Linked DNA regions of Oryctolagus cuniculus. The protein of the gene in region 2 purifies or fractionates together with the protein of the main gene of each other region. This does not show direct contact. Links are inferred from orthologs where the notes say so. Each region holds a gene or a part of one and is shown on either strand. Other genes may lie near its edges. The genes, in order: FKBP8 and CDK20.

What was found.
Region 1: the proteins of CDK20 (region 2) and FKBP8 purify together in Homo sapiens (affinity purification with mass spectrometry; 5 studies listed by BioGRID and IntAct, with this or other methods). This does not show direct contact. The link is inferred for Oryctolagus cuniculus from reciprocal best matches to the Homo sapiens genes CDK20 and FKBP8.

What each region holds. Positions count from the first base shown.
Region 1 is NC_091447.1:65,697,628-65,706,597, forward strand, and holds part of FKBP8 (peptidyl-prolyl cis-trans isomerase FKBP8), read right to left. Parts: intron 5,767-8,970; exon of another isoform or gene 5,622-5,766; intron 4,279-5,621; 5' UTR 4,254-4,278; coding exon 3,971-4,253; intron 2,120-3,970; coding exon 1,950-2,119; intron 987-1,949; coding exon 898-986; intron 53-897; coding exon 1-52. UniProt on the Homo sapiens protein: Constitutively inactive PPiase, which becomes active when bound to calmodulin and calcium. Seems to act as a chaperone for BCL2, targets it to the mitochondria and modulates its phosphorylation state.
Region 2 is NC_091432.1:137,156,885-137,166,368, forward strand, and holds the start of CDK20 (cyclin-dependent kinase 20), read right to left. Parts: upstream 4,768-9,484; 5' UTR 4,510-4,767; coding exon 4,435-4,509; intron 4,203-4,434; coding exon 4,089-4,202; intron 1,878-4,088; coding exon of another isoform or gene 1,850-1,877; coding exon 1,661-1,849; intron 1,501-1,660; coding exon 1,379-1,500; intron 1,222-1,378; coding exon 1,159-1,221; intron 728-1,158; coding exon 484-727; intron 132-483; coding exon 1-131. UniProt on the Homo sapiens protein: Required for high-level Shh responses in the developing neural tube.

The DNA.
Region 1 (8,970 bases), on a different chromosome or scaffold from region 2:
CAGCGTCACCTCCAGGCACAGGGCCGCGTGCGGGGGGATGTAGGGGCTCCTGCTGGGGAAGTAGGGACGGGCGGGGGTGGCACTCAGACCCGGGGAGCCCCAGCCCCGGCCAGACCAGGCAGGGGTGGCTCTCAGACCTGGGGAGCCCCAGCCCCGGCTGGACGAGGCAGGGGTGGCTCAGACCCGGGGAGCCCCAGCCCCAGCTGGACCAGGCAGGGGTGGCACTCAGACCCGGGAGCCCCAGCCCCGGCCGGACCAGGCAGGGGTGGCTCTCAGACCCGGGGAGCCCTGGCCTGGACCAGGCAGGGTGGCTCTCAGACCCGGGGAGCCCTGGCCTGGACCAGGCAGGGTGGCTCTCAGACCCGGGGAGCCCTAGCCCAGATCAGGCGGGGGTGGCACTCAGACCCGGGGAGCCCCAGCCTGGACCAGGGTGGGGTCTTCATCCGCCCCGTCCTCGGAAACAGCCCGGAAGTCCCACCTGCCGGCCCCTGCTGCGTAACTTGTGCAGTGAGTGCCCTCTCTGGACCTCAGCTTGCTCTTCCGTAAAATGGGCAGACAGGCTGCTGGCTGCCACGCCTGTGTCTCCTATCAGAGAGCCTGTGTTCGAGTCCTGGCGCCAGCTCCCTGTGCATGTGCACCCTGGGAGGCAACAGGTGATGGCCCAGCTACCTGGGTCCCCACCACCCACATGGGAGACCTGGATGGAGCCCCTGGCTCCTGGCTTTGAGGCTACTGGGACCACTTAGGGGAATGAACCAGCAGCTAAATCTCTCTGTCTCTCCTACTCTCTGTCACTCAGCTTTGCAAATAAATAAATCAATCTTAAAAGAAAAGTAAATATGGCAAGCAGCGGGCGCCAGCCTCCCTCCCCTCCGCCCGGGTCCCCTGGGCGCTCACCTGCCCTGCGGGCCGTAGCAGTACTTGGAGTCAGCAGTGACCATGGCCGTCTCACCCACGTCCATGAGCGGGACGCTGAGGTCCAGGGCCTGGTGGGGGGAGCCAGTGAGAGTCAGGCGGCCCCAGGCCCCCCTCCACCGACCCATGCCATGCCCTCTGTCCTAAGCTCCGCCCACACCCACCTGGCCCCCTCTGCACCACCCTCTGCCCGCCCACACCACGCCCTCTGACCCGAGCTCCACCCACACCACGCCCTCTGCCCCAGAGCTCTGCCAATGCCCCGCCCCACCCTCCATCCACCCACGCCCAAAATCTGCCCACACCCCCTGCCCCAAGCTCTGCCCACACTGCGCCCTCTGTCCCGAGCTCCACTCCATGTCTCCCCCACTCCACTCGCCTACACCACGCCCTCTGCCCCGAGCTCCGCCCATGCCCTGCCCTCCACCCCACCAGGCCACCTGCCCCGCCCACACCACGCCCTCTGCCCTGAGCTCCACCCACACCACGCCCCACACCTCTGCCCCGAGCTCCGCCCATGCCCTGCCCTCCACCCCACCTGGCCATCTGCCCCGCCCACACCACGCCCTCTGCCCTGAGCTCCACCTGCACCCAGCCCCACCCTCCGCCCCGCCCACGACACGCCCTGTGCCCCAGCTCCTCCCATACCCCGCCCTACCCTCCACCCCCCCAGCCCTCAGCCTCCCAGCTCCGCCATGCCACACCCTCTGCCCTACCTGGCCCTCTGTACCGTCCTCTGCCCCGCCCACGCCCCACCCTCCACCCACCCACACCACGCCCTCTGCCCCAGCTCTGCCCATACCCTGCCCTCCACCCCCACCAGGCCATCTGCCCCGCCCACACCCTCTGCCCTGAGCTCCTCCGCCTGCACCCAGCCCCACCCTCCGCCCCGCCCATACCCCCGCCCTACCCTCCACCCCCCCAGCCCGCTGCCCCAGCTCCGCCATGCCATGCCCTCTGCCCCCAGCACCGCCCACCTCCCCTGCCCCAGCTCCGCCCTTCACCCCACCCGGCCCTCCGCCTGCCCCGCCCACCTGGATCACGTCGCAGTCGCCCAGGGTGAACACCAGCTCGGGCTCCTCCTGCACGCGCGTGCCGTTCTCCAGCGACGTCTGCAGCTGCACCGTGACCACCTGGCCCTTGGAGGGCCGGCTCGAGCCGGGCGGCCCGGGGACCAGGGTCTTCTTCCTCAGCAGCCCGTTCCCTGGGGCGGACGGAGAACACACGGCGTCACCCGGGGCCTGCGCTCCGGGGGGACAGGGCCGCCCACGGGCCCATCTCAGGAGAGGGCGGCGCGGGAGAAGGGCGGGGACAGCTGGCAGGGGGTGACGCAGCGGGTGAAGCCGCCGCCCGCCCGCGACACCGCTGCTCGGCTTCTGACCCAGCCCCCGGCTAAGAGCGGGTGTTGGCCCAAGTGCTACAGCCCCTGCCCCTGCGTGGGAGACCCGGATGGAGCCCCCGGCTCCTGGCTTCAGATCGGCCCAGCTCCGGCCATTGTGGCCATCTGGGGAGTGAACCAGCGGATGGAAGACCTCTCTCTCTCTCTCTGCCTTTCTCTCTCTCACTGTAACTCTACCTCTCAAAAAATGAAATATTAAAAAAAACAGAAACAGAGCCAGAGTACTTGGCAAAGGCGGCCCCTGGTCCCCCCTCAAAGGGAACAGTGTCTGCGCTGGCAGCCGCCCCCACACCACCGCGGGAACGGCCACGTGGCTCAGCGCCCACGGTGGCCCCACGCACACACTCAGGGCAGGCCATAGAGGCAGGGGGACGGCGAGCCGCCTGGGCCGGGACCCGCAGCCCAAAACCTCCCGCAGGGCCCTCCCAAGTGTGTACGAAGCCCCAGCAAGGCTGCCCGACCCGGCCTGTGGCTGCACACATCCACACACTTCCCTGTGTTCTGGAATGTCCCAGCGCTCCGGGACACTTCACAAGCCTGAGTGGACCGAGCCTACAGGTTAGGGACACATATCCCAGAACCTTCTAGACTGCTGGGGTGCTCCCCAACTTCCTACAGGCCCCACGTCCAGTGTGGGAACCCCCACATCTCGAGGCTCACGGGCACCAGGTGCTGACCTCGGGGAGCGCCGGCACAAACTAAACCAATAAACCAACAGCGCCAAGCTCGGGGGACCGGGAGCTCGGCAGCTATCCGCAGGCACCGGCAGGGGGCGCTGTGTGACCTCGGGCAAGCATCTGTGAAATGGGGATGGGGTGGTCACAGACACGGGGCCCGCACCCCCGTATCGGAGCGCCTGGTTCCAGTCCTAGCAGCCCTGCGTCCAGAGCCAGCCCCCTGCGCACGCGCACCCTGGGAGACGGCAGTGACGGCTCAAGGACTCGAGTCCCTGCCACCCACGTGGGAGCCCCGGGATGGAGCTCCTGGCTCCCGGCTGCAGGAGACCGGCCCAGCCCCGGCTGCTGCTGGCATTGGAGAGTAAACCAGTGGACGGATGGCCTCTCTGTCTCATTCAAATAAATAATCTTAAAAAAAAAAAAAAAAAGGCGTGCAGGCCAGGCCAGCCTCAGTACTCCCTGGGGTTATTTTTAGAGGTAGCGGGGATTCGGATGAGTGGCGGTGCGGGTGGTGGCATTTCTGCTCCTTGGTGCCGTGGCTGGGGTGTCGCTGTCGGCCCCGCACCCGCGTGGGCACCGCACTGCTCGGTAGGGAGACACCCACGCCCTCCACGGAATACTAATGAGTCCCGGGATGGGGGGGCGGGCTCACCTGGTCCCTGCCTTCAGAACGGTTCACAAAGACCGCATGGAGCAGCTCCCACCACCCACCCCCACCCCACCCCACGGCTCAACTGCACAACCCGACCTCAGTGTCACCCGAGGGCTGGGCAGAGATGCAGTGGGGGCAGGGAGCTGCGGGCGCCGGGCTGCTGTGCGGCTCCGGGCAGGTGACTCAGCCTCCCTGGGCCTCTTGGCAGCTCTGTGTGTGTGTGTGTGTGAGAGAGAGAGAGAGAGAGAGCGAGAGCGCCAGGAGTGGACTTCAGCAATTGTCACGCGGCTGTCACCAAGGTCAGCCCCAGACCCCGCCGCTCCTTACCCAGGATGTCCAGCCACTCCTCGGGGGCCGGCGCCGGGGCGGGCTCCGGCTCCATGGCAGCCAGGAACTCCCGGGCCAGGGCCCCCGGCTGCTCCTCGGCCTTGTCCGGCGGGGGCTGTGCCATGTCCTCAAGTGGCGGCAGCTCGCTCAGGTCATCGTCCTCCTCCTCCTCCTCCTCCGCTTCGGCCTCCTCCACCCCGTCCAGCACCTCAAAGTCCTCCAGCGGCGGGACCCCAGCCGGCGGCGGGGCCCTGGGCTCCGAGGGCTCGGCGCAGGAAGCCATGGTGCTGGGGGCACGGGAACTGGCCCTGGGGACAGGGGGGACGGACAGGAGGGAGGTAAGCCCCCCGGAGTCTCCTCTGTCCCACCCCTCCCCACACACACCCAGGGCTGACCACTAGCAGGGGGACTCGGGAACTCCCGGGCCTCAGTCCTCTCATCCGTACAGTGGGTACAACAACCCGGAAGGGAATTCAAAACAACCCACGCCTCAAACGCCAGGCATGAGGCTGAGAGTGTTAGCTATTATTAGAGCTAATGATTATTTAATTTTTATAAACATCTCAGCAAGTAGGAACCGTCCCTCTCCACACACAGCCCCCCCACCCATTCTGCAGATTAGAAAACAGACCCAGCGGGGCAAAGGTAGGGGTCCAAGGTCACACGGAGCAATCGCAGGGCAGGGACAGACCCTGGGGGCTTTCTGGGACTGCATGCCAAGGGCGGGTGCTGGGGGCGACGGAGCACCCCCAGGCCTCAGGGAAGCCATCTTTAGGGCTCCCAGGCTATGTGGGGAATGGATTCCAGCCAGGGCCTGCCCACCTCCACCTGCCCCTTCTCCCCAGGGGAGCCAGCTCCTCCGACAGACATGGACACCACCACCCACACCCCCGCCCCAGCCTTCTCCTTCCTCACCCTCAGCTAATCCTGACCCCCAACTCCTATTTCGGGGACCCTGGCGCTAACCCACTTCCATCAGGCCCCCTTGGGCCCCCCACCAAGCAGCCTTCGAGGGAGAGACCCCCACCCCACCCCACCCGCCCGGCCTGGCCCTGGCTTGTTCCTAGTTTTTTCCCTGCCCAGGCCTGCTGGGAGCCCCTAGCCCTAGCGACCCCCAGGCTCCCTCAGGCCCCAAGCGCCCAGGAACCCGCAGTACCGCCTCCCTAACCCTCACCTGCCCGCCGCTTCCGGGGCTCGGGCCCCCCACAACCCCCTGCGAACGCACGAATGCCCCCCGCCCCCAGCCGGGCCAGCCCCCCCCACGGCCGCTCGGTCGCCCCGGCGTCCCCTGCCGCTCCCCTCCCGACCCTCAGCACCCTCCGCCCCCGGGACGCCCCCAGCGCCCCACGCCCGTCTGACGCCACCAGTTCAGAGCCCCCCGACCCCCGCGAGCACCCCCGGCCCTGCACGCAGCGATCGGCAGCGCCCCCCGCGGGCTCTCCCTCGCTCCCTCGGGCCGCCAGCCCCGTCGCTCCCAGCAGGCCGAGCCCCCCTAAGGCACCCCCGACCCCCGCGCCCCGCGCTCGCCTCCCCCGCGGCCCCTCGCCCCGCCCATCGGCCGCGGCCCCCGCCGCGCCGAGCCCCGGAACCCGCCGAGGCCCGAACGGTGGCCCCGGCCAGCGCGACCCCGCCGGCGCCCCGGGACACGTGCCTCCGGCTCCGGGACCCCCGCCTGGGGTCCTGCGCCCCCCTCCCCGCCCCCAGCCGCGGCCGCCGCGCCTCGGGAACCAGGTTCGGGCGCCGGGCCCCACCCCCGCTGTGCTCATTGGCCGCCGCCGCCGCCACTGCCGCGCGTATTGGCTTGCGCGCACGTCCGTCTCGGGCGCGGGCACCGCCCCCTTCCTGCTTGGCTCCGCGGGGCGTTCTTAAAGGGGCCGACGCCTCCCGGCCGCTCAGGGCGGGGGCGGGGGGCCTCTGGGATGGACTTCGACCGCGGGTCCGCGCCGCACCGCCCGGCGCCGCTCCCGGCTCGGGTCTGAGCTTTCGTCTGCTGAATGGGGATAAACCCCCCGCCACGCTCGCACTCTCGGGGGGCCGCGGGGAGGGGCCTTAGGAAGCGCCGGCTGGGTCCGGGGAGCCCACCCCGAGGCCCCAGCTCTGCGAGGCGCCGGGGTGGGGGGTCGGGGGCAATGTGCCCAAGGACACCGCGTTCCCCCCACCCCGCGGGGTCTCTGTCTTCCTGGAGGGTTCCCTGATGCATGCAGAAGGCGCTCAATAACGGCTGGGTGGGCGGGCAGCTGAGCGCGCAGGGGCCCCAGAGAGGTCCCTGCTGCACGCTCGCTCGGACACAGGGCGAGGGGGCGCGCGCGCGGCCAGGCCGGACAGAGTTTCTCCGCTTGTTTTGAAGCCGGGGCACTGGCTCCTCCCTCGCAGGTTCACTTCCTCCTGGGCAGCCGCCCCTTTCCAGAAAGATCTGCGCGTTCCTTGGCTTAGAGGTGCGCTCCCACATCCCCAACCCCCACTTCGCTCTGTCCTGGCGGGGAGTTTATTTTTCTTTTTTCCTGTTTTGCACCCAGCGCCTCCCCGATGGGTGACGCGGTTGCGAGGCAATGCAGTGATTCAATAGTTGAACAAATGAATGCAGTGAATAAATGAATGAGATCCCAGTCAGCTTCCTCCAGGGAGCCCTCCCTGACCACCCCCACGGCAAGACCAGGTTAGCCTGGTGGTTTACAACATCTAGCCGCTTTGTCGAATTATTTGAAAGGCAGAGAGAGAGAGAAAGAAAGAGAGAGAGAGAGAGAGAGAGATCTTCCACCTGGGTCACTCCCCAAGTACTTACAACAGCCAAGTCTGGCCCGAGCTAAAACCCAGAGGCCGGAGCTGCATCCGGGTCTCCCACGTGGGCGGCTGGGCGCCCAGCGGCAGAGGGCTGGATCGGAAGGGGAGGAGCCAGGATTCGAACCCAGGACACATGCTTCCCAAGAACGCCTGCCCCGGTTAGTTCACCTCTGCCTGGCCCACCGCACACCTGCTGCGGGATCCCAGCCCCCACTCCCCCAGCCCTGAGGCCTGAGCACCTGCCAGGCACGAGGTCCCGGGCACCCAGGGAAGTCGCTGCGAAAGGCAGGCCATACAGAACCAGCAGGGGGCCGTGAGAAGTCACCAAGGCAGGGGCATCACACAAACCCTAGGCCAGGGGCCGGCGCTGTGGCGTAGCCAGTAAAGCTGCAGCCTGTGGTGCCGGCATCCCATGGGGCACCGGTTCGAGTCCCAGCTGCTCCACTTCGGATCCAGCTCCCTGCTAATGTTCTGGGAAAGCGGTGGCCGACAGCCCGAGTGCTTGGTCCCCTGCCAGGCACAGGCAGACCCTGGTGGAATGCTTCCTGGGCCTCACACAGAGTCCGAGGGTCAGGTCCCCCCGGGAGGGAACTGGCCGCCGTCCTGTGCTCCCCTAATCTCGAGCGTGGACTCTGCACGCCGGTCTCGCCTTTGGCTTGTACTTGGTCACTTACTTGAAAGGCAGAGAGAGGGAGAGAGAGAGAGAGAGAGAGGGAGGGAGGAAGACGGAGAGGGAGAGAGATTCAGCCCCAGACGCCCACAGTGGCTGGGGCTTAAACCAAGAGCTGGGTGCTCAGGTGAGGCTCCCGCGTGTGCTGGGCGGCCGGGGGGACCCAGTCACCCTGCATCCTCACTGCCACCCCTGGGGTCTGCGCAGGCAGGGCCGGGGCCAGGAATCAGACCCAGGAGCTCCCCGGTGGGCGTGGGCATCGTGGGCACCGGCCTTGATGCCGGCCCGTCCCTGCCTTTTACCGCCAGTATTTGATCTATTTACAGTTGATGTAATTTTGGACACATTTGGATATAAACCTTCACCACTCTGTGTTCCTGTTTCCTAAGATTTAGTTATTTGAAAGGCAGAGTGAGAGAGGGATCGATCGATCTTCCAATCACTGGTTCACTTGACAGACGGCCAGAGCTGAGCCAGGCCAAAGCCAGGAGCCAGGAGCTCCATCCGGGTCTCCCACACGGGTGCAGGGGCCCAAGGACCTGGGCCGTCCTCCACTGCTTTCCCAGGCCACAGCAGAGCTGGATGGGAAGTGGAGCAGCCGGGACTCGAACCCGTGCCTACATGGGATGCTGGCACCACGTTGGCCTTCTTTAGGGACGAATGGGGGTATCTGGTACGACTCCCGAGAGCTTCCTGTATGGCCAGGGAAACGGAGGCATGGCGTAGCTTGTTCAAGGTCGCGGCCATGGAGGGCAACGTGGGCCAGGTCCCCTCCCTGGCCAGGGTGGCCAGTGGCTGAGCCCACCCGGGGACACGCGTGGAGCAAACGCAACCAAAACAGGGCGGAGGAGGGGGCTGCGAGTGCCCTCCCATGGGTCTCTCCTGCTGGACGGGGCGGCCCTGCGCTCACCACCCTCTCCCGTAAACACACAGGACACCAGGACATTTCGTCTCCAGTCCTCGGGGCCCCCAAGTCCCTCTGTCCCTACCCGTCTGGGGCTCCCAGAAACGTGCCCCGGCCTCTGGCAGGGCCCCCTGCGGCAGCCTGCACACGGCCATGGATCGAGCAGCTTCCCCCAGCAGGGCCCCTCTCTCAGCTCTTGGCCGCCGCGGGCTCACCGAGCCCCCCCCCCCTTACAACGGTCAAGCCCACACCGTGTGGTTTCCCATCATCGTTTCTTACAGCCCCAAGTCACGTCCACTGCCTGCAAAACTCCTACTCCAACCTCAAAACCCCAGCTAGATGGGGTTTGCCTCCCCGCAACCTCCCTTGCTCCCAAAACGAGCGCTCACAACGGCTCAGGTTCCTGCGCACGGAGGGTCCTTCCTATTCTTTACAAACACAGAAGCCCCGCGAGGCTGGGGGCGTCTGCCTCTGACTCTATCTCCTTTTTCCTTCCAGGCCTAAGCAGGACCTAAGTGGTCCCTGGGGTCCCAGAACACGGGCCACACCTGGCGGGAGGGAAAGTCTTTAAAAACTGTCAAACTCCGTAAGAATCCTGGTCCCCGGGGCTTTTCAGCAGAGGCGGCAGTAACAACGTAGCCAAGA
Region 2 (9,484 bases):
GGCGGGTACAGCAGGAACTGACCCAGCAGGTCCAAGGCCTGAGGAGACGCATCCGGCAGCACCTCCTCCAGGGGCACAGGTGCCTGCTCCTTGAAGGAGATCTTGTTGTAGTCGGGCAGCTCCGTAATCTCCTGAGACGCAAAGAGGAGGGAGCACCTCAGAGCCCGCGCTGCCCTCACTGCTCAGTACCAGGTCTCAGGGCCTCGCTGTCTGCTCTCTCATCCACCCGGCCCCCCCATCATCCACTCACGCTCCCTGACCCTCCTGGGCATCTGCCCCAGGCCCAGCTTGCTGAGGTGCTGTGTATGCCAGGTGGGCAGGACAGGAGGGGGGACCCTGGCACTGGGCCTAGACAGTGGTCCCTGTTGGTCAAGGGAGGCTGGGGTCATGAGAGAGAAGGTGCAGGGCAGGGAGCAGTTACTTGCTGTTGTGGACTGGAGCAAATCTGCCCCCAAACCCTCCCCACCAGGGGCCCCTACAAACCGGCCAGACTTGAGGGCTGGGGGTGCCCAAGATGCGAAGCACACAGCAAAGCTGTTCAATGTCGTTCTCACCCGGGAAGAGAGGGGACCCGTTCAACAGCTCCCCCATGATGCAGCCTACAGCCCTGCGGATACAGAACACCGAGCAGATCTCACGCCATGGGACAGACCTCCAGACCAGCTCCAGCACTGCACACCAGGGCTTCATGTCCACAGGTGCAGACTCCCAATCAAGAACCTCAACCCTAGAACACAAAGCAAACCCCAACAGCCCTGAGACCTCTCAGAGCCTCATGCTCTGGGACACACACACACACACACACACACACTCCTCTTTCCACAGCAAATCTACAAAACAGCTCTGAATCTCAGATGCCGGGGTACCACCACCATCTGCTCCCCAAGAAGGCTCAGGGACTTCACACCCTGGGACACAGGCATTGGACTAGATGGGCAAGGTCACATGCTTGGGTCTTAGTCCTACACACACCAGCCAGACAAGAGGCTGCCCTCTGGGACAACCACTTTCCTCCCTCCCAACCCCAGGCTGCTCCAAAACCCTAATGAGGGCAGATCCCAGTCCTGCCAGGCAATCTGGAGCTCACAACGGAGAGGACACCAGAGCCTGGCAGGAGGCTACGACCACGGTGCCCCTTGCCTGGCATGGGAGTCTCACCACAGGTCAACACCCTGGTCATACTGGCGGGCACCATACAGGAGCTCCGGTGCTCGGTACCACCTGGGAGGAAGAGAGCTGGAGGTCAGAGCCAGGCCACCAGTCAGATGGGAGGCTGTCCTAGGTCACCCAAGCCCCACCTGAACCCACAAGCAATGTCGGGCAAGGAAACCAGAGCATCTCTTCCCCCAAGGGAGGGCAGGGGATCTGCTGCCCCTACCTGGTGGCCACCTGGTGTGTGTAGAGGCGGCTGCCATCTGGAGAAAAGACCCGGGCCAGCCCAAAGTCTGCAATCTTGAGCTGGCCTGAGGCACTGATGAGCAGGTTAGCAGGTTTCAGGTCCTGGGGGTATAAAAGGAGGCACCAGTCTCTTAATGCCTGGGGATGAGGGCCTAGGTCAGCTCAGACCCTTGATGCTCACCTGAAGGCCCTGGGACCCTCTGTCCCCTTCTGACCACAGCTTTATAAGGACTAGCCCACCCCGGCCCATGCTGGGACTGACCCGATGCACGATGTTGTTGGCATGGCAGAAGGCGACGCCCTTGAGCAGCATCTGCAGATAGCTCTTGACTTGTGCAGGGGCCAGCGGCCTCTGGGCATGGCGCACCACCTCGGCCAGATCCGACAGCATGAACTCAAAGGCCAGCACGAAGCCTGCACCATGCGGGAACACGGCCTTCAGCTGCACCACCTGTGGGCAGGCATCCTGTAAACCCCCTCTGCGGGCAGAGATGGCAACACGTGACCTGACCTCAGAACCAGGATGCTTAGCGCTCATGCTGCTCTGCCCTCCTGAGCCAACACAGGTCCCCACCCCATGCTCCTGGGACACTCAGGGAACCCCATGCTCCTGGGACACCCAGGGAAAAGGTCTGTAGAAGGTTACTTGATGGGCAGCATCCCCACCCACCCACCTGGACATACACACGGCACAAGCAGAGTTCTTCCTGTTTCCTTGGCAGCCATTAAATGCAAGCACCAAGGGCAGGGTGCCAAGATTCACACCTGCCCAGTGCTGGGAGAGCTAAAGACACATCACACGCCCTGAGGCTACCAGTGAGTCCAGGGAATCAGAAGACAGGACTAACAAAGTGCCAAGGGTGCCAAGTGTGCTAAGCGGTTGATAAATAAACAAAGGGATATGTTCAGGGCTGATACACACAAGACAGACATATGAAGGTAATTCCCAAAAGTCTGTGGGAAATAGAATTTTAAAAAGTTTAGTACAAAAAATGTTTGAAATCTAGTTTTTTCACAACATGTACCTTTTCAAGAACTCTCTGAAGACTTCTTGTATACTAAGGTGGTGTAATTCTTCAACTGGAGAAAAGGATTCCTTATTTACATGGGGCAGGGGCAGGGAGGGGCTCCTCAGGGAGCCAGTTACGCAGAGAACTGGGAAAAAGCAGTGGGCAGTGGGACACCAGGTGCAAGACCTCAGTGGGCGCAGGAGGGGGAGGGACATGGACACTGGAGGTGGTCTGGGGGAAGAAATGGGTCTGCTCCGCTCTGTGCCTAGGAAGCTCTAGGATAGGACTGGACAGGGACAGTGGCTGGAGATGGGCACAAAGCGACTGTGCCCCAAATGTGAAGAGAAGCCCCTGGGGTTCTCTAAGCGGGGAGAGGACGATTCAATTTCCATTCTGGACAGAACCCTCTGAACTCTAGCCTGGGGAGCAATCTACAGGTTGGTGCAATCTTTCTGGTGAGTGGTGAGGGTGATCCAGGCCAGGAACCAATCCAGAGCATGTTTTAAAGAACCTTCAGGAATGCTGACCACTGGACACAGGGACCACATCACTGCCCTCCTTATGGAGCTCTCTCTCCCAAAATCAGCTGTCTGCAAGTTCTTTTGTTTTGCCTGAAAAATTAGAATGGCTGTATTGCTGCTTTTCTGGTAGTACATATTCATTTCACAGATCAAAACACATGCACACAGACAGTACACAAAATTATAAGGGAAAGAAAAACTCAAGTACCTGTAGTCCATCTTGGAGTACACTCTACCAGACTTTACAGTAGGTAGGCACACACATATACACACAGGTAAGTGTTTTCATACAAAACAAGGATGACACAGAAAGCTTTAGAACATCCTTTTATCGCCCAGTGTATCATGGACATCTCCAGAAGACAATGAACACAAGTCACGCGACCACAGAGACTCTGTCACTTGGCAGGAGACCAGCTCTGTACTCCAACATAGATTAAGAGAGGACCATAGAGAGTAATGACGCTGGGGGTGTGAGAGGTCCCTCTCACTGCCATAACTCTTCCTGGCAACTTGTCACAGCACAAACCGCATCAGACGGATCCCGTCACCCCCGACACCACACTTAAGTTCCTAGGAGCTGGGTTGGGCCAGCTCCTCTCTGAACCATCAGAACAAACCCAGGAAAGAGCCTGCTACATACAGGAGGCCACAAGGGCTGAATGTCTGGACTCCACTGAGCAGCTGCGGGCCTAAGAGCAGGTGACCTAACCTCCTCCCACTGCCTGAGAAACACATTCTGAAACACACCACGCACAGGGGCAGAGGGCTCCGGACCACAGTGGTGTCAAGCCCTCGGCACAGCCTGCAGGACACATGAGCTCAGCGAGCGCTTTCTATCCCCATCAGAAATCACTAAATGCTTCGAGAAGGAGAATAAGAAAATGAGATCATAAAGAACTAGGTGCTAAACCAGAAAGTAAATGAGTGAGGAATTGGATGAACGAGGGTGAACAAGCAGACACAAACGGCCTAACTAAGGGATACGGAGGAGGCAGACGAAAGGGCGGAGTGAGGAGCGCACAGAGGGAATCCTGGAGGCGTTTGAAGGGGTGAGTGAGTGAAGGCAGGAGAGAGTGGGGATGAGGGAGACAGGAAGCGAAGGCGATGCCCGCCGACGCCCCGACGCCCCGCTCCGCCAGGCCGGGCCCCCACTTACATACTGATTGTCCTCGATCTCCTGCAGAGCCTTGATCTCCCGCAGCGCCTGGTTGGGGATGCCATCCTCCAGCCGACGCAGCGCCACCTTCTTGAGGGCGACGATCTCGCCAGTCTGCACAGGAAAGAGCGCGGACACTGCCAGCCCGACCCCGGGACGGAGGCAGGCAGGGCGAGAGACAGGTGTGAGAGGGGGAGGCTTCGTTAGCCGGGTAAACGGGAGCCACGCCGGGGCTCAAGCCGGGGCCAGAGGACGGGTGGCGCGGGCGCCGCGCCCACAACCTGTCCGAACACAGGCCGGGCACCGCCCCCCGACGCGATCCGAGCAGGGGGGCACCCGTTCTCACCTCCACGTGCTTGGCCTTGAAGACGATGCCATGGGCGCCCTCGCCGATGCGGCCCAGGATGCAGTACTGGTCCATGGGCGCCCAGGCTCCCAGCCCGGCCAGCCGCTCAGAGCCCGACGCGGTCGCCTAGCAACACCGCGGCGGGCCCCCGAGCCTGCCACCGGGGACCTAGGCGGCCCCAGTCAGGGACGCTCTCCGTCCTAGGCCCGACTGTCTTTCCTTTCTCTCCGCTGTCCCGCAGCAGGGCGGCTTAACCCCGCATTAGGTCACCCAAGCCCGGAGAACTGCCCAGCGCCAGGCCGCGGAGCAATGGCCGCCGGCCCCGCGTCACGTGACGGGGCGGGGGCGGGGCTGCGAGGAGGGGCGGGGCCGCCAGGCGAGGGGGCGGGGTGGGTGTCTCACCCCGCACGCCGGAGGCTACCGGCCTGTAGCACGCGTGTTGCGGGTCTCCGCCACAGGCATGTCTTTCTGCCCGTGGTGACGGCAGGCGGGCTAGGCCTGCGGCGTGGGGAGGTGAGCGCTTCCTGTCTGGACCATGGTCCATCAGCGCCGTGAACTCATACCTTTCAGAGGGCGGACTCTGACCCTGAAAGGACCGAAAACACAAGACGCCTCTATGGAAAGACGCTCAACCTTATTACACACAGTAAGACAAATGCAAAATGCATCCACGGTTTCCCACCTCGCCAATGCAATATAATGTGGGTTTACAGATGAGTGAAATTTTTTTTTTTTTTATGTACAGGGATGGGAAGTTGCTAAAATTGTTAAGTAAAGGCGGCAGGCTGCAGGACCTGATAAATAGAGTGCCACCGACTGCATAACAAAAGCAAGAAAGAATATGAATTGGGGTGTGCATTTAGTGCAGCAGTTAAGAAATCACGCGGCATGCCTGCATCCCATGTCAAAGTGCCTGGGTTCGAGTCCCGGCTCTGCTCCCGCTTCCAGCTTCCTGCTAATGTGCACTGTGGGAGGCAGCAGTTAATGGCTCGAGTACTTGGGCCCCTGCCACCCACCTGGGAGACTCACACTGAGATGGGAGCTCCTGGCTTCCACCTGGTGTAGCCCCCTCTTGCAGGCATTTGGGGAGTAAGGAGGTGGAAGATCTCTCGCTCGCTCACTCTCACTCTCTTCTCTCTCTGCCTCTGAAATAAATAAACTTTTTTAAAAATATTTTAATTATGAAGATAGATACGGTAGTAGAATGGGAAAAGGATGGTTTTCAGAAAATAACATGGGGCCGGGGCTGGATATTGATCCAGATTTCATACCATCGCAAAGCCAAAACCAACTCCAGATGGACTGCAGAGCTAAACAGGAAAGGTAAATAATGAAGCTTTTTGAAGAAAACAGCATCTTACTTATATGCTTTGGATTAGGTAGATGGAGTTTCTTAAGTTACCAGAAACACTATAAGGGAAGTGAAACACTATAAGGGAAATTGGACTTCATCAATAGTCAGAACATTTTTTTAAAGATTCATTTTATTATTTTTTTATTTGAAAGGCAGAGTTACAGAGAGAGAGAAGGAGACACAAAGACGGAGAGAGATCTTCCATCTACTGGTCCATTCCCCTCAAATGGCTGCAAAATAGCCGGGGCTGGGCCAGACAGAAGCCTGGAGCCAGGAGCTTCATCCAGGTCTCCCATATGAGTGCAGGGGCCCAAGCACTTGGGCCTCTTCCAAGGTTTCCCATGTTGGATTGGAAGTGCAGCAGCTGGGACATGGCATTGCAGGCTGGGGCGTAACCCACAGCACTGGCCCTGTATAGTGAGAACATTTATTCATCAAAATATGCCATTAGAATGTGAGCAGGAAAGCGATGGTGAAGAAGAAGAAAACTGTAACCATATATCTGACAAAGAATTTGTAAGGAACTCTTAGAAAACAAGCAGTATGGGCCAGCATTGTGACATAGCGGGTTAAGCTGCCACCTGTGATGCTGGCATCCCATATGAGTGCTGGTTTTTGTCCCAGCCACTCCACTTCCTATCCAGTTCCCTGCTAAATATATCTGGGAAAACAGCAGAAGATGCCCCAAGTGCCTGGGTCCCTGCCACCAGTGTGGGAGACCGGGATGCAATTCCAGGCTCCTGGCTTTGTCATGGCCTAGCCCTGGCCATTGTGGCCAAATTTGGGGAGTGAACTAACAGATGAAAGATCTCCCTCTCACTCTGTAACTCTGTCTTTTAAATAAATTTTTTTTTAATTTAAATCCATGTATAGTTTTTCATAATAGGAATTTTTCCATGAAATTTTGAAGTACTATTATATGTATGTATGTGTGTATATTAGCATATATACATATATAAATGCACCCTATGGCCTAGTTCTACTCCTGAGATTTTAACTTGACAGACTGTATAAAGAAGAAGAAAAGGAGGGGGAGGAGGAAGAGGAAGAAGAAAAGTATTCATATATACAGTCAAGTGTTGCTTAGTGATGGGATAAATTCTGAGAAATGCATATTTAGATGATTTTGTCATTATGTGAACATCATCATAGAATTTACTTACACAAACTAAGATGGCTATGACATTACTATCAACTTGTGAAACCACCATAGTATACGTGATGCAATGTTGACCAAAGTGTATGTTCACCAGAGACACACAAGAATTCTTGTATAGCATAGGGCTCTTTTAAATAACACAAACCTGGAAACAGTCCACAAAGAATGAATAAATTGTGCAGTGCTTACCTGATGGAGTTTTAAACAGAAATAAGAATGAATGAAGTGTCACTACTGCCGACAACATAGATAAATCTGAAAACACAATAATGAGTGGAGAAACTGGGCAAAAAGAATGTATATTGTATTATTTATATATAAAAAAATTAATCTTCGGTGTAAGAAAACAGAAACACAGTAAGCCTCAGGAAGTGTCTGGAAAGGGCATGAGGGGGTTTGAGAATCTGGCAGCAGTGACAAACTTATGACTTGGCACTTTTCTGTGTATTTATAATGCTTTAAAAATATGAGGACATATGTAACATATGAATTCATTTCCCTTTGCAGAAAAATATATATTCTGGTTTTTAAAATGTAAGTCAAAAATAGTAGCTGGTTCACTACCCAAATGGTCAGTCACAATGGCCAGAGCTAGGCCGGTCCGAAACCAGGAGCCAGGAGCTTCCTCCAGGTCTCCCACCATCTGTTCCCACTCCCGTGGGCAAGCTCTCTGCTAACCACGGCTTCAGACCGTGAGTTCCTTCCAAGGACTGCAGGCTCCTTTCTGGGGTGGGCAGTGGGAGGAGCTGGGGATCCCAGACGCCTCTCTTTGATAATGTGTTGTAGGCAGCACGTCCCACCTGGTGTGGCTGCCTTCAAGCTTACTTTACTCAGCTTAACACATATAGGCTAAAAGACCAAGGGGAACCTGGAAGCCACCTTGCAGACATTCGGGAGGAGGAAGAGGGCATGAGTGATGGGAGCGTTTCAATGCAGTCGCCCAGAAAAGGGAAAATGCTCCTGGGGGCTCTGAATGGCTGTGAAGAGCAGGAGGTCAGCCTGGGCAGAGGCTAGAGTTTTGCCTAGATCTTGTATTTTGTCTGTTTTCTTCCTCATACTAAATTCTGTTTTGAGCTTACTCCCAAGTCAATGGGGAGTCTAACCAACTCCGATGGACTTAGGGGGCCACGCTAAAATCGAGGGTTGGGGGCTTTCTCAGCTCACAAGGGAAAATTCAAGCATTAATGTGTGGAAATTCTTTGACTTCAGATTTTTCTCTCATGAAACTTACTTGGGTTTTGGTTTTTGGTTTCTCTTAGTATGAAGACACTGAAAAGCTCATGGAAAAATTAGAATCAAGTTTATATTGGTGCAAAAGAATTTTTGAAATCCATGTAAAAAGGGGTCTTCATAAAGGTCATGAAATACACATGTAAAAACATTATGCATCGATTTCAAAATTTTTTAGAACCAAAATAAACTTACCTTTTAATTCCATTTTTCCACAAACTTTTTTTAAAAAAAAGATTTGATTAATTTATTTGAAAGGCAGAGTGACATAGAGAAGAGAAGAGAGAGAGAGCAAGAGAAAGACATCTTCCATCCCTGGCTCACTCTCCGAATGTCTGCAATGAGAGGGGCTGGGCCAGCAGAAGCCAGCAGCCCAGAATGCTATCCAGGTCTCCCAAAAGTGTAACAGGAGTCCAAGTACTTTGGCCATCATCTGCTGCTTTCCTAGGTGCATTAGCAGGGAGCTAGATTGGAAAAGGAGCAGCTGTGACTTGAATTAGCGCTTATATGGGATGTAGGCCCTTGTAAAAGGTGGCTTAACCTACTGTGCCACATCCAAGCCCCTCCACAAACTTTTTGAAGTACCCTCCTATTTGTATTTTGGTGGCAAGCAAAGGACAAGCCTTGATAGATTTGACATAATCCACAGGTTAACAGGCTGCACGTTAATAGGTGTCTTGGAATAGCCAGCCCGTCACTGACACATCAGTATCAGTGCCTACAAGCTGTGGTCACAATTCACATTTCAGATGTCCCCAAACCTGTGTGAGGCATGCTGACTTTGTGATATATTTATGATATGCATGGAACTCACAATAGTGTGGTAAGGAGACAGTCTGGGCAGACTCTAGGGCTCTTCCTTGGGTTTATGCAGAGGTCTCCAGCAGCGTGGCAAGACCCCTGCAAAGTGGCCTGAGCTTTCTCACTGGGCTGCAGATTCCTCCCTCATTGGGAGGCTGCAGGTCCTACATTGAGCTTAGGAGAAGAAATTGCTTGGGCCCCTCTTGAGTGTTTTCTCTTACACTGTGGCTGTCCCAGCACTCAGAGGCCAGAGGTGCAGGAGGACCAAGTTTGATCAAGATCAATGCAAGATTCTTATTGGAGCCTTTGAAAAGGACCAGTATCCTGGTATTACTGTCCGAAGAGAATTGGCCATATTGACACAGATTCCTGAGCCTCAAATCCAGGTAAAGTGTAGATGTGGCTCTTTAGGGTGCTCTGGTCCCTGGGGTGACGCAAGAAGTGGAACTGTGTGTATATTGGGTACCTATTTTTCCACAAACTTAAAACATCACTTTTGAGTTAAT